3 separate regions of the Mus musculus genome follow, and regions 1 and 2 are each reported to be linked to region 3. Evidence: microRNA targets listed by miRTarBase, many of them from high-throughput screens and not tested one by one. Region 3 holds a microRNA gene; each other region holds the end of a gene's coding sequence. Distances are from middle to middle.

Region 1 (5,074 bases), 34 Mb from region 3:
GGTGGTTTAGTCCCTGGGACCTCTAGGGATACTGGTTGGTTCGTATTGTTGTTCCTCCTATGGGGCTGTAAGCTCCTTCGGTCCTTTCTCTAGCTCCTCCATTGGGGACCTTGTGCTCCAGGTTAGCCTAATCTAGAAAATCCCTCACCGCCATGCCCAAAGGCTTATCTCCTATATGAATCTATACCTTATCAATTTAAGTGTTAATCAGCCATCACCCCAGCTGCCAGCTTATTTGAGCCTCACATCCCAGAGCCCTGATTTCTTTCCCTAAGCATATAGTCAGATGATGGTGAGTGTACCTTAAGAACCTTCCTGATGAGTGCCCCCCACCTCTCTGTTGTCAGGATGCCCCACCTCGACAGCCCCGGCAGCTCCCAGCCGAGACGCTCCTTCCTCTCAAGGGTGATCAGGGCAGCGCTACCGTTGCAGCTGCTTCTGCTGCTGCTGCTGCTCCTGGCCTGCCTGCTACCTGCCTCTGAAGATGACTACAGCTGCACCCAGGCCAACAACTTTGCCCGATCCTTCTACCCCATGCTGCGGTACACCAACGGGCCACCTCCCACCTAGAAGGTTCCACCAGCTGCAGTGCCATGGCCGACAGCCTGTTGACCACAAGTGCTCAGCTCGTGGGATCAGACTAACCCCGGAGTGACTTTGCCTTGACAAGGTCCAGGGACTCCCTCCTCTTGTCCAAGTGGACTCTGGGAGCCCAGGACAACTCAGACAAGATGTCCTTCTGCTGGAACAGAGAATCAAGCACAGCAGGACCTGGCATTCAGATAAAGTTACCAGATGGGTTCAGAGAACTCCGGAAAGGGGTGGGGGCGGGGCCTCTGGAAGAGCCACACACTGTGGAAAACAGTTATTGTAGCACAGCTCATAAGGCCCATGAACAATGGTGTTCAGCACGTAAATGACCTATATCCAAGAAGCTAGTGGGCCCCCTACCTTATTTAGTAATGGTTCGGAAATTCCTGTGCACTGAGCTGATTGGTTGATTCAAACACATTTTAAATATTTAGAATCAGTTTTCCTCCAATCAGCTAGTAGTCTATACTTCCCAGGTTATAAACCAAAACCTCCCATTCAGCACCCGGGTCAGCTCTTTTTACATTGCTTTAAAAATTTCTAAGGAAATTTTATTGCATGGATGTCGTTATTTGTGCATATTTTTTAACAATGCTGAATCTGTATGTATAATGTAAACTTTGATTTAAAAAAAAACAGATTTTAGCCTGAGCTTTTGACTCATGTACAGTAAATGCCAAACTACAGACTTGATAGGGATGTTTTTATAATTTAATTTTTTAAGACTTTTCATGTTTAAAGAGATACTTCAGGTCTGGTTGAGCTGTTTGGCCACCAGGGGTTGGTAAAGAAACTTGGAACTATTTGTGATATGTCAACTCAGATGTTTCTCATTAAAAAAAAAAAAAAAAAAAAAAAAAAGCCCTGCTTGTGTATTGGACTCTTTTAGAAAGCAGATCAGTGGTGCACTTGGTCTCCCAAATATAACAAATATCTTAGACTCACCTGGTCCCAGCCCATGGCTACCATGGACCCTACAGCTGCCACCTGTGGTACAGACCCAGCCAGGTAGGTAGGCTGACTGTGTTCTCTGTCCCTCACACTGCCCCCTCCTCTCTGTCTCCCTGAGACTCAGCTGATCCCAGGAAGGCTGTAGCCATCACATGTCATGTAGACACATAGGAAACCTGCACTTTCCTTCCTAGCGTCCATTTGGGTCACCCAAGTCCTCTGGCTGCTTGCCAGGGACGGCCTCCTCCTCCTAGCCTGTCTCTCCTCCCTCCAGGACTCACCAGATCCCAACACAATAGCCACCAGGGACTATTCAATCACCACCTATATACCCCACTGTCCAGAGTCCTGCCAGCTATCCTCCGCAGCCTTAAGACCCAGGACTAGTCAGTCCCTACTGCCAGGTGAAACTTGTTCTAGAGCTGAAGACAATGCCAGACTAGCAGAGAAACAAGACCTGGAGAGAGGCTATATCTCCATTTACCAAACAAAATGGTTCCCAGTGCTGCTGTGCATTTGCATCCTGAACACTAAATACCTCTGCTGAAAGATGAAGACTTGAATAAAAGAAAATCTTCAACCAGTCTGGAGAGATGGGTCAGTGGTTAGGAGCACTGGCTGCTCTTCTGATGGTCTTGAGTTCAATTCCCAGGACCCACATCCCAGCTCACCACCATCTACAATAGGATCTGATGCCCTCTTCTGATATGCAGATGTAGAATCAGATGGAACACTCACATACATAAAAATAAATACACTTTTAAAAAACAACCCTCACCCAACAAATTCCAGATGTACAAATCCCACAGTTATGGCCCCTAATGAAAATGACATAGAAGAACTTAAATAATCCAAAGAGTGACTGTAACTATAGTCAAACAACTCAAGACAGAGACAAAATAAAGGAGCTAGTCTAAATAGTTTTGAGTTTTTTTAAGACAATTCAGATGGAAATGTTAGAAATGAAATTTTCAATAAACCATGTAACAGCCTCAGTGGGAAGCCAGAATGGGAACAGAATGGATTGTGTCAAAAACAGACAGGGATGAAAGACAAAGGAATTGGATCTTTCAGTGAAGATCAAGAGAAATTTAATAATAACAATAACATGCAGCATGGAAAAGTTTTGGAACCTCATAAAAAGGCATAATCCTGGGCATGGGAGGAGAAGAAGGTATAATGAAGGCCTAGAAAACCTATTCACAGATATCATAGAAGAAAATCCCCCAAACCTAAGGAAAAGGATTCCTGAGGATGCTAAATAGGTAAGATGGGAAAAGGAATTTTCCACAGTGTATTATAGTTAAAATATTAAAAATGCAAAATATGAAAAAGGGCTTTGGAGCTCCAAGAGAGGGAAGGTCAAGTCACTTACAAAGCCATGTGGGTCACAATAACCACTGATTAGTTTACAGACCTTTAAAGGGCCTGAAAAGCTGTATTCCAAATCCTGAAAGAGCCTAACTGTTACACCTAGCAAAGCCATCTATTAAAACTGAAGGAGCGCCTCACTTGATGTTACAGTTCCCCTGGGGAGACAGAGGCAACTGTACCTCTAAATTCCAGGCCAGCCAAGGTTATATAGTGAGACCCTCCCGCACATACACAAAATAATAACGATTTGAAACATTACAGGCTATTACCAATGTTCTCAGTTACACTCTTGTACTTCATAGGAAAGCCCAGTACTGAAGACACAACACACTTGAGTCACAAAACCCAGAGAAGTTAAGCTGCCACTCGCATGGAGGCTTCGCCATCCTTACTGGCCAGCTTTCACAGTACATGAAGATGCTACCAGAGATGGAAAGGAATAATTTTTTGGGCTTTTGGGTTTTGTTTTTTGTTTGCTTGGTTGGTTTGTTTGTTTGTTTGTTTTTGTTTTTTGAGACAGAGCCTCACTGTGTAGTCCTGGCTGGCATAGAACTCAACTATATAGACCAGGCAAGCCTTGAACTCAGATATCTACCAGCCTCTGTCTCCAGAGTGCCCCAGGGTTAAAAGCCACCACTCCTGCCCCGAAGTCACCAATCTTGCCCAGCTGTGAGCCCTGAGAACTATAGCAACAGCCAGCCTGGAAGACAGTTACAATGCCACTGCTATAATAGTGGTGTGAATGTCTTGGGATTAACCGCCCATCTTCCCTTTTTATCAGGACCAAGGGACCTGTGTGTGGACACATTACAAAGGGAGGATCCATTACTGTATTAAACTAACTCCTAACGGGTTACTGTTACAGCCATAGATTAGTGCATCCATCAACTCTCATAAGAGAGGCTTTTTCCAGTAGGTGGTAATTCACACGGAAAACCCACAACTGATCAAGATGCAGAGGATAAGAGACTGTAGAAGGCTCAGCCCTGTATCTATGTCATACCCCCTTCCTCCAAAGGCTCAGGGTTCATTGTAGAAGAGGGTTTGGAGAGACTGTAAGAGTCAGCATAAGAGTGACAAGAAACAGGACATTCTAGACACAGAACGGCTGCACATATGATTTCACAGCAATAGAGACAGCATGCACAAGACCAGTGCTGGCTCAGGCCAGACAGAATTTCATCATGGAGAGGGGAGGTGGATGCTAAGTCCCAATCCTGCCTTAGGAGCTATTGGAAGTTGATAGTGTTTGGGAGAGGGAGAGTCTATTTTCTTTAAGGGTGTAAGAACATCTGGGTAACACAAACTGTTTTTTTTTTTTTGTTTGTTTGTTTTTTTTTTTTTTTTTTTTTTTTGGTTTTTTGAGACAGGGTTTCTCTGTATAGCCCTGGAACTCACTTTGTAGACCAGGCTGGCCTCAAACTCAGAAATCTGAGTGCTGGGATTAAAGGCATGCGTCACCACGCCCAGCTATACTTTAAAAAAAAAAAAAAAAAAAAAAAAAAGCAGAGTTCGGTGGGTCAGAAAGGAATAGATCTTGGAGAAGTGAAAGGATCAGGTAAATAGAATTGAAATGGTCAAGGAAAAAAATTGAATGATTTTTATTTTTTTACTTAAATGTATACTTGTGTATATTGTGTGTGGTACACACACACACGAGTGGAGGCGTCTGCAAAGACCAGAAGTGGTTGTCAGATCCCCTGGAACTGCAGTTACAGGCAGTTGTGGGCCACCTGATGTGATGAGTACTGGCAACTGAGCTCAGGTCCTCTGCAAGAGCAGTGTGCTTAACCACTGAGCCCCCAAACATCACTTTGAAAATTTTTTGGAAGGCTTTGCCTCTAAGCTTTCTGTTCCACTTATATTTATCTTTGTGAATGACTGAGACTTCGAGACCCACAACCTGTCTGGAAGTGAGACTTTCCTGCATGTGTACATTTCGTCGCAGTAATGAAATACCTCAGTCAGAACGTGGAGGCACACAAATGTCTGTGTCTTACTGGCTTCTCTTCCCTCAGGCAGGGACACCAGCCCATGGACTCCTGCTGCCCACAGTTAGGTGCTTCCCTCCTAGGTGTGCTCCCTCAGCAATGAAGAGCTGCAGCTGACAATAACCATCACAATATGTTAGTAGTTCAACCCTGACCATCCTTTGCCT
Region 2 (5,074 bases), not on the chromosome of region 3:
TTATTCCAGAAACAATGATGAAGTTCTGGAAAGGTCTCAAGCACAAGCATAGTTAAGATCAGATTGATATCTTAAGAGTTCATCTTGTTATACATGAAAATATGCCCAACATAGCTAGGCGTGGTGGTGCATGCCTTTAATCCCAGCACTCAGGAGGCAGTAGCAGGCAGATCTCTGACTCTGAGGCTAGCCTGGAGTTCCAGAACAGCCAGGGCTACACAGAGAAATTCTTTTTCTTTTTTTTTTTTTTTGTGGCTGGAGAGACAGCTATGGGTGCTAGGAACCGAACTCTTATATTTTTGGTTGTAAGCCTATTTCCCCAGCCTGAGAAATTCTATCTTTGAAAAAAAAAAAAGACAAAACAAAAATATTGTCCAACACATGAAACCCTATCTTAAAACCACAGACACAGACACAGGAGGAAGAGGAAGACATAATGGCCAACATCACTAGTTATTAGGAAACTGCAACTCAGAACCAGCTAAGGGACTGTGGATGGAGCCCAGTGGTACAATACTTGTCTACATCTGCAAGTCCTGGGTCTGGTCCCCTGCACTGCCACAAAATAAAACACAGCACATACACAATGAAACACACTTCAAATTAGTAAACAATATTGGTGAAGACTTGATAAACTGGAATCCTGATATCCTCCATGGGAACACAGCTTGGCAATTCCTCCAAAGACTAAAGGTAAGAGCTGCCTTACGATCCATCCATTCTATTCCTATACAAAAGAATGAAAACACGCTGGGTGTGGTGGTGCACCCCTTTAATCCCAGCACTTGGCTAGCAGAGGCAGGAGGGTCTCTGTGAGTTCGAGGCCAGCCTGGTCTACAAATTGAGTCCAGGACAGACAGAGCTTGTTACACAGGGAAACCCTGTCTCAAAAACAAAAACAAACAAACAAACAAAAACCCACCTCCACCACCACCAAAACCCCCACATGTCCATGAAGGAGAACATGAAGGGGTGTTGCACACACATATATACAGAAGCCTATTCATGATCGTCCTGACTAGAAATCACAGAACGCCCATTATATGCACTGTAATGAAATATTTAGACAATTTAAAAAACTGAAGAGAAAAGACAAAACAAAACAAACCCACTGGCAGGCACAGTGCCACACACCTTTAATCCCAGCACCTGGGAAGCAGAGCTTCCTCTGTGAACTCAAGACCAGCCTGTTCTAAGGGCAGCCAGGGCCACACAATGAAAATGTCTAAGCGCACACGCGCACACACACACACACACACACACACACACACAGAGAGAGAGAGAAAGAGAGAGAGAGAGAGAGAGGTACTCACTACTTGAAATGATGATATATACCATGGCACAGATGAACCTTAAAACTAAGTAAACAGACACATTGCACATCGCATATAACATTTATGAAAGGTCCGTTATAGGCAAATCCACAAGGACAGAAAGATTAGTAGTTGCCAGGTCTGAGGAGAGGTGAAGGAGGACTGCTAGTGGGAACAGGATTTTTCTGGTGATAAATATGTTCTAAAACTGATGATGATAATGGTTCCACAGCTCTGTAAATAGACGACAATCAAATGTACACTGTACAAGGATAAACTGCATACTATGTACGTATCTCTCAAGTAAAAATTTGCCCCCACTACAATGTGTAGAATGAAGAGGGAGGGTTGAGAGAAGCTGCCGCAGAAAGGAAAGACAGAAGCAGGGGAAGGAATCATGGAATTATGATAGAGGAGGGCCAGAGGCCATCAGGCCCCTCTACAAAGAAGAGTAGTAGGAAACAAAGATGAGGTATCTGCAATTATTATGAAGCAGCAAAAGGGCATTTAATAATCTCCTACATATAAAGACTAACCCCACATGTACAGAAAGTGCCCTGAATAAAGTATACCCAGCTGCCTGCTGGGCTATCCTGACTACTGTCACTCCTAAGCACATAGGGTTCAAGGTGTTGAAGCTCTGGGCAGCTCTGAGAGCTGGCTGGAGAGAGAGATGCTGGGCAGACCATCACTTTAGGCAGTATGTACGTTTCTGGGTTGTCTGTGCTGTAAAAACTGCAATGCTGCTCAAGGGCATCTTTCCTGGTCAGCTCAAGGAGTTAGTTTTGAATACATACTGCCTACCTTCCATAAAGTCCTCCCCTCATCTCTAGCAGGAGGTTGACAAGTGCTCAAAGACCCTAGGCAAATGGGCCTGGGTTGCCAGATAGAACAATAAGAAAGCTGAGGATGGGTTGGGGCTCTAGACCCCACAGGCACATCTTCAACACACTGGGAGAACTGGAGCCTGTAAACGGATGGGGTGAGTCTCTGTTCACAATCTCATGGCCACCTTGTTCCCTGACACTTTGGCCACCTCAACAGAAAAACATGCTGCAGCCACAACTTCCAAGAATAAAATACCACTGAGAGATATCAACAAAGCCAGAATCTCTGCACCAGACCATTTCCTTGCTTCATGGGGAAACCAAGGCTCAGGCCCAGTGTGTAGAGTCCTGGTTGGCATCCAGGTCTCTGTTCTCAGGCCATTTTTCTTCTTACTCTACCAAAGTCTGAACCTCTAAGAACCTGACTGTAAGCTGTGAGCTACAAAGGGCAAGATAAACTTAGAAACCTTGGAGGACTTAGGTCTGAACTGGCAGAGAAATTAGAACTACCTTTTTCTAGGATCCTCAGAAGCCAAACCACTTTGGTTATATGCTCCCATCTTTCTGGGGGTAGGGTGGAGATGGGGGTGGGGTGGGGTTGCTAACCAAATGATACATATGATACAGTTTTGTTACGACTTAGTTCTGAAGTCTTCTGCTTCTTCATGTGCATCACTGTTCATTCACAGTGTAGGCAGCCACCAAGGGACACGTGCTCAACCACAAGTCAAGTGCTCTGTGACCTACTGGGCACAGAACAAGCCGAGCAGGTGAAGAGCTTGACATCCCAAAGGCATGCTTATGCACTCAAGTGAAACACCACTTTTAAGCCTGTAGAGCAATACAGTATTAAATACTATAAAGTAAAGTCAGATGAGAAGCCAAATAATCTACTTACTCCCTTTCCATGGTAAAATCATTTGAAAGGAGAATAAACATAAACTTACATTTTCTGAAACTACTGTCTTATTTGCTAGTTTTGAATAAGTCTTCAATAATAAGTCAGAGACACAAAGAGTGAATTCTCAGGGTATCATTTCTAGAAAAGTGGGAATAAACAAGAGCCCATCACAGATGGACAGCAGTTTCTTTCCTACAGTGGCCACAAAGCAAGTTGAACTCAAGTACAACAGACCATACAATTGGTACCATTCAAAATAATGACACTCCTTTCTTTGCCTTCTTCCAAAGTATATAATGTATATTTAACAACACAAAAGACACCACTTGAGCTTCCCCTTAGCCAACAGGAGGAATATCCACATATAAAAATTAAAAATTTAAACTTTTAAGTCATTAATAGTTTTTAAACATAATACAGACTTAAAAATTGTTCAACATCAACCCAAGACCCCACCCCTAAGCACAGAAATCAACTCCAAATCCAGAAGTCACAGTTGTTTGTCCCTAGAAGTCCTACAGCACTGAACTTGGTCTTTACACCAGGCTACCAGCCAGCAAAAGGCTCTAAAAGACTCCCCCCGGGAGGAATGGAAGCCACTGCTGACTGCTGCTGCAAGCATATCTACTCGGGAGGGTCTCAGGTCAGGTCTGAGAGACTTAGCCACCACACTAAGGCCCTGGAAGGCTGAGCTGGCAGCTTCCCTCATCTTCCCCCTCAAAGACTGTCCAGTAAGCACCTGAGAACTGACTTTTCTTGGAACAGGGTGCTGGCAAGATCTGTCAGGGCCAAGGCAACAATGAGAAGTTCAGTTCTCGGCTCTTTGGATGACTGTGTAAAACATTGCTTTTAAAAGACACAATGTTAAAAATATTAAGAAAATGTCTACAAAATCTGGAGGGTTGCCTTTAACTCCAAGGGTAAAGCTTGTGGGGTGGTGGGGAAGACTTGAGGACCCAGAACTGTAACTCTGCAGCACAAGACAGAGACACCCTTCCTTCAAAACTCATCACACTCTTAAGCTGTCCTACTAGGACAGCAAGTGTTCAGGGTGCAGGTAGGAGGAAAGGGCGCCAGCTCCTGCAAGGGAGGTTCCCACTGCACGCCCCACCTTATGTAAGAATGTCAGATTTAAGGGCAGTTGCCAAGGCCAGGGCATCAGGACTCTGCCTCTGAACCAGAGCTACTTTCCCGGCTGACTTCAATCTGGAGCGAAGGCAAGCTATCCAGCCGACTCTTCTTCTGGCGAGACTCTTCTTTCTCCTTGATCAGAGCACCCCATGCTCTCTGAAGCTCCGAGTCATCTTCCTCAGCACCAGATGCCCTGTGATCCACTTTCTTCGTGTTCTTTTCTTTGGTCTTGGGTGTAGATCCTAAGCGAGTCCACAAACCACCTGTTGGGGTGAGAAGACACTTCAGTTGGCAGTCGATGCCGAGTACCAAGTAGTTCTGTGGAAGTAAGGACACTGCCAACACCTGCTCTGCAGGAAACATCGGGAGAGGTGCTTGGTGCCAGTCTGTAAGTGGACAGCCTGAGACTCGATGGGAGATGCTCACAGCTCAAGGCTGGTGTCCCCATACCAGGCACAAACTAGACACTTGCCTCTCTCCCAGGCTGTGTACCCCTCAGTCTGCCAAGAAACCGCCAACTCTCACATTCTGCAAACTGAACGGGTCTGTTTTACTATGAGCAATTCTCAGGTTTTCAGCTATACATTTTTAAAGTGTGTTTATGTATTGGCTGAAGGCCTTATTGGTTAAGCGTACTTGTTCTTGCAGAGGACCTGGTTATGTTTCCAACACCCACATGGTACCTTACAACAGTCCATAACTCCACTTCCAGGGGATCCAATGCCCTCTTCCCACCTCCAAGGGCACCAGACATGTACACAGTACACAGACAAACATGTAAGCAAAACATAAAAAAAATCCCCCAAAAGAAGTGTTTTATTAAAACCTTACAAAGAAGCATGTGTTTAGAATGTGGTGATATACATATACTACAAGATAATTAAAGGTTTAATTTACTTATG
Region 3 (5,074 bases):
GGAGGCTGCAGCTGTGGGCACAGGTGGAGGCTTTCTTGCCAGGGTGGCTTTGCAGGCTCTGGAATGCCAATCATTCTCTGTCACTTTTTTGTTAAGTTACACAGAATCCCCACCCCCACCCCACCCCATGCCCATCCTCCCATGCCCCACCCTAGTCTTTTGGAAGATCACCCTGTTTTGGAGTGATACTGAGAAGTAAACTAACTTTAGGGCTGGGTACCAGTGTGCAGAGTATGCAGCCAATTCCAGAGCCAGCCAGCTGAGGCTTGCTTCACCAGCCCCTGTGCTCAGCCCAGGCTCACAGGTGCTTCACTGTTCCCTGGCCCAACTCTTGGTTCATGTAAAGAGGATAGCCTCCGGTATGTTCTCTTTATTGATGGTAATAGACTGCAAGAGGCACTTGTCCTCACATCTAACTCTATCTGGGAACTACTCCAGCCCTGTTCCATCTTTGGGTCAGGTCTCCTGATACAACGTGACTTCTGACTTTCTCGGGTATGTACCAATTCTTGGTTCTAAGATGGGACCTTTGGCTAAGCTATTAGTCTCTGGTCCTCCTTGTCCTCTTGGTGCCTGATCTTTTGCTCTTGAGGGTGGGAGAGGGTACTGTGGTGCCTGTTGCACTTGCATTGAACATAATCACCCAACAGTGGCTTGCTTGTTAAAAGACAGTGGCCCTCAGACCTGCCGTCTGTTTGTACCAAGCCATCTCCAGAGCCTTGTTGCTCACAGCATTCACCTTAGAAGATAAAGCATGATGTTAGACTATCCCAGCTTTGATACAAGTACTGGTTTATACATCTTTATTTATAATGATTTCAGGCCTGGTCCACCCCTCTCCAAGTGAGGACTTCCTGGAAGTGGTGTCTGTCTTTGGGAAGAGGCTGAAGTTTCCCATTCCGTGCGGTCTATCTGGTGTTCTTCTGTGGCTATACCTAGATCAGAAGGGGGCAGTTTTAACAGCCCGCACCTATGGAAGCAACCCATCCCGTCAAAAAAAGGTGAGTGTTTTTCCTTGCCATGATTCAGTGCAAACCTGTGGCCATTCCTGCCTGCTCTTTTCTGGGGAAGAGGTCCCAAAAAGGAAAGATGGTTCCATCATTCAGTGGCATGTGGAGTTTGACCCCTGTATGGCATCAACTTCCTTCTAGTTCTGTCCCATTCCACTATCGGGCAGAATTAGTGGGGCAGGGTCCGGTCCTGGGAGTGACACTGATACCCGTTACTGGGAAGGCAGAAAGGATTGGCTTTAATCACTTCTATAAATTCCTGGGGTCCTCCTGTCCTCTGTGTGCAGTGTACAGCCAGGTGGGCATCATAGAGAAAGTGCTAAGGATAAGATTGTAGTCCTAACCAGGGTTTACCTACAGAAAGCAAAAATCTGAGTTCTGTATTTCCTGAGAGAGTGAAAATCTCAATCTGTTGTAACATCTGCCAGTAATATCAGAAAAAGGTCCCCCCCACCCCCCAAGTATCTGTCCCAGCCCAAGCTCCTTGGATGGAGAGCTGACCAGTGGGCACACATCTGGCAGGTGGTGTTTGCCATGTAATTGGCTGATTCCGAATCTCCCATCATCCCTCCCCAGGCTAAGTCCCAGGAGACGAGGCTGACCCCGTGAATGCTAGAGCGGAACCTGCCCCATGCTATTGTTTGGTACTTAAAGCGAGGTTGCCCTTTGTATATTCGGTTTATTGACATGGAATATACAAGGGCAAGCTCTCTGTGAGTATCAAACCTTATCTTGGATCCCGTCCACACTCAGCGAGGGATGTGGTATGTGTGTGCATGACCGTGTGTATCCATCTTGTGTGTGACAAACTGCTTCCTGGGTTTCCTTTATGCACCAACGGCTTCATGGGCGCAAGATGACTTCAGGAAAGACCTCGGGTACATCCCCTCTCCTTGTCCATATGGGTTGGTCCCAAAGCATGCTCTCTGTGTGTAGCCTGGGTCCCTGCTTTCCCAGGCTGATGGTCAGGTCTGTGCTGGTGTGGGCCGTTGTTTTTTGATGTGCTGCCGTGCCGTGGTACCCAAGTGTGCATGTTCTTGCTTGGTGTGTGTGACCCAGTCTGCTAACGCTCAGCGTCTAATTCGTCCCCAGGACCCTACCTGGAAGACGTAGCACGTCTACCTGAGGCGGTGGCTTTGCTTTCCAGGCCGAGCTTTGGTACTTGGAGAGTGGTTATCCCTGTCCTCTTCGCTTCACTCATGCCGAATCGTACAGGGTCATCCACTTTTTCAGTATCAAGTGCGCAGACTCTGCAGCCTGGCTTCCTGCGCCTGGATCCTGCCACTGCCACTTCCCATCACACATCCTTGGACAAGGGTGTCGCCGTGTTATGCTCCTTGTCTCGTGTGTCACTCGCGAGTCCTCTTGGGGTCCAATGCATATGGCTCTCGGGGGCTGGGAGAGATCAGGCTCTTGTAGGGACTAGGCTCATTATTGACCATGTGCCAGCCCAAACTTTTGTCTGCTGGGAGCTGACTGCTGGCAGCTATGATGGTGATATACAAACCTCTCCTTGGATTTGGGAGCCCATGTTGAGACAGACATTCTCTGTCAGTCATGTGAGTGGGTGTTGGAGCTTAGAGTTTGTGCTGGACTTACAAGGTGGTGCTTGTGACTCGGCAGTGACATCATTTCTGTAGCAGCTTCTAGAACAGAAGACCCCATGCCGGGGGTCAGCAGGGCCACCCACAATGCTTGCTCCACTTAAGATGGACACTGCCTGGCTTCTTGACCCCAGCCACCATTACCCTTAGAAGAGGCTAACGTGAGGTTGTCATGCTGAGTCCTGGGGAGTCATTTCTATAGCCTCTCACCTCCCTGGTGCTTAGAATGGCCATCAGTAGTACTGCATGCATGGTGCATGTATGTATTGGGTGCAGCCACGTGTGAGGAGTGGTGATCACTCCCAAGAGGCCTATGGATGCTGGTATTCCTGCTGTGCTACTGTTTCATACTTGAGGAGAAATTATCCTTGGTGTGTTGGCTCTTTTGGATGAATCATACAAGGATAATTTCTTTTTGAGTATCAAATACTGCCCTGGTGGACTTCCGGGATGACGAGACGGTTGTTTAAAGAGGTGCCTGGTGCATGATGCATGGGTTAGCCTTACCTGGGCACAAGGCAAGAGAGCACAGAACTGATGTGTAAGAGCTACACTCTGATCCCAAGTCAGGATCTTGCTTGAAGAGTCCAGGGGTTCCTACGTGGCTTGGTCATGGTGAGATAGCACAGTTTTCATGACTTGGCAAATCGTTCTTTTTTTTTTTGGATGGGCAGCCAATCTCACAGATAGTCACTGGGGTCAGGCCCCGGCCCCTTGCTCAAGAGTGTGACTGGTTCCACAAGCATGTGCTTGAATGACAGAGGCCGGCGAGCTGTCTGGTCTGGATCGTGAGAGGAGGTCCTGCGGTTTTTCTCGGTGCGGTGGTTCTCTGACATTTGCAGGGTGGCTATCAATAGTGTGCTCGCCATATTTATGGAGATTAATTGGGACGACCATTGTTTGCCCCATATCTGGATTTGCTTCCGAAGGTCCTAGAGCACAGTGGTGACTTCAGCTAATGGACATTGGTACCTGCTGCAGGAGAGGGAGAATTTATTGAGGCAGAGTAACCTCAGAAGGCACCCCCCCCCCCATGTACTCTCACAGTGACAGCTTTGAGGTGGCAACAGCTTTGGTGGCTTGCTTCTTTGTGCTTGGTCTGGAGAACACTGAGAATAACTCACCTGTCTGTTGTTGCTGTTAAGTCTTAGTTCAGAGGAACTCCTTGAGAAGGTACTGGGTCAAGCATCTCTTTAGGTAGACAGAACTTGGCCAGGGTCTTCTAGGTCCAGCACCCACTCTCCTCAGCATCCATTCTGAGCATAGACTTCCTGTGGTTAATACAGGTGTTAATAAGGATACTTCCTGCCGCCGCCGCTGCCTTAAGTCACTCTCTATCTGTTCCTATGGCTTCCTTTGGGCTGACTTTTTCTTAGACATACCTGGTCAATAGCATACCATTTCAGCTCATTCCATAATCTGGTGTGTGTGTGTGTGTGTGTGTGTGTGTGTGTGTGTGTGTGTGTGTGCCTGCATGCATGCTTGTACAAATTGTTGGTTAGTGTAGGGCCTCTCAAACTGCTCAACGCTGCTAAGATATTCGTCACCTAGGGATCTTGTTAAAAAGCAGAGTCTGATTGAGGGGCCAAGATTCTGCATTTTTAGCAAGCTCTCAAGTGATGCTAATGCTGCCGGTCCGTGGACAACACATGTAGCCACTGGGGGCTGGAGGTGATGTTGCATGTTCCTTGTAGTGTGTGTGCTCCATCTCCTCCATCCACCCCGCATTATCCATCATGAGTGAGCATTGAGCCAATATGCTACCTTTTGATGATCAAACTGTGGTCAGTTGTGAAAGGCCACCTGCTGTACAAACACCATTATTGATTATTGATTATTCTTTCAAATCAAAGCATGCCTCTATGGGCTTCCCAGATATAAGAGCTACTTCAAGGAGGGGCTGCCTATGTCAGCCAACAGCAGGACTTGTCAGCACCAGGTTATTGGTGACTGAGACCATCTGACTCTGTAACTCTCCATTTCCAGTCAATTGTAAGGAGCACAGTTCTGGAACCACAGCTTCTGGGGAAGGAGGAGTCCTATCTGTCGTATCTACCAGCAACCCTCGACGTTATCGAGAGAGGTAATGCCCATGGTGCCATTGCCCTTCCATGATATTCGGCCAGCTGCTGGCTTCTTGCCATCCAGCTTACCTCTCAGGGAGGACCAGATAGACTTCCATTTTGTTTCTAAATTGACCTGCCTTAGGAAGCTCTTGTGGGAATGAGTTTTTCCGTCAGACCAGATTTTAGCCCTAGGACCAATGTGTAGCAGTGAGTGGTTGCTGTCAGCTCATGTGCTTTCTTACAGACTATGGGAATTCACCTCTCAGAGTCTAGGAATTCAATTTGTCATTGGAAGAATCTTCTGGAAGGAGAGAGGACAGTAGACAAGAGGCCCCGGTTTTCCTGTCAGAGATCTCTGAGAATATTTGAGGTCATTCATGTTCTGTTTGCTTAT

The links. Region 3 holds the annotated microRNA mmu-miR-539-5p (GGAGAAAUUAUCCUUGGUGUGU, at 2,970-2,991, shown strand). A microRNA usually pairs through its seed, bases 2 to 8, with sites in the 3' UTR of a target mRNA and lowers its output. Matches are read on the target gene's strand: a 7mer-m8 pairs with bases 2 to 8, a 7mer-A1 pairs with bases 2 to 7 and ends in A, and an 8mer does both.
Region 1: miRTarBase lists Syne2 as a target of mmu-miR-539-5p. Seed matches in the 3' UTR shown: 7mer-A1 at 1,418-1,424.
Region 2: the mRNA of Ncbp3 is a reported target of mmu-miR-539-5p. Seed matches in the 3' UTR shown: 7mer-m8 at 2,635-2,641, 8mer at 326-333 and 7mer-m8 at 222-228.

Annotation. Positions count from the first base shown.
Region 1 is chr12:76,109,475-76,114,548 of GRCm38, forward strand. Syne2 (spectrin repeat containing, nuclear envelope 2) reads left to right here. Exons shown (of 116, transcript NM_001005510.2): 116 at 348-1,454. The coding sequence ends at 570. Among named protein-coding and RNA genes, the nearest start is that of Esr2, 65 kb to the right of the region's middle.
Region 2 is chr11:73,078,302-73,083,375 of GRCm38, reverse strand. Ncbp3 (nuclear cap binding subunit 3) reads right to left here. Exons shown (of 13, transcript NM_025818.3): 13 at 1-4,435. The coding sequence ends at 4,200. Among named protein-coding and RNA genes, the nearest start is that of Itgae, 9.7 kb to the left of the region's middle.
Region 3 is chr12:109,725,167-109,730,240 of GRCm38, forward strand. Mir539 (microRNA 539) reads left to right here and starts at 2,963; the gene lies at 2,963-3,036. Mir381 (microRNA 381) reads left to right here and starts at 1,656; the gene lies at 1,656-1,730. Mir487b (microRNA 487b) reads left to right here and starts at 2,167; the gene lies at 2,167-2,248. It overlaps Mir544 (microRNA 544), which reads left to right and starts at 4,159; the gene lies at 4,159-4,236.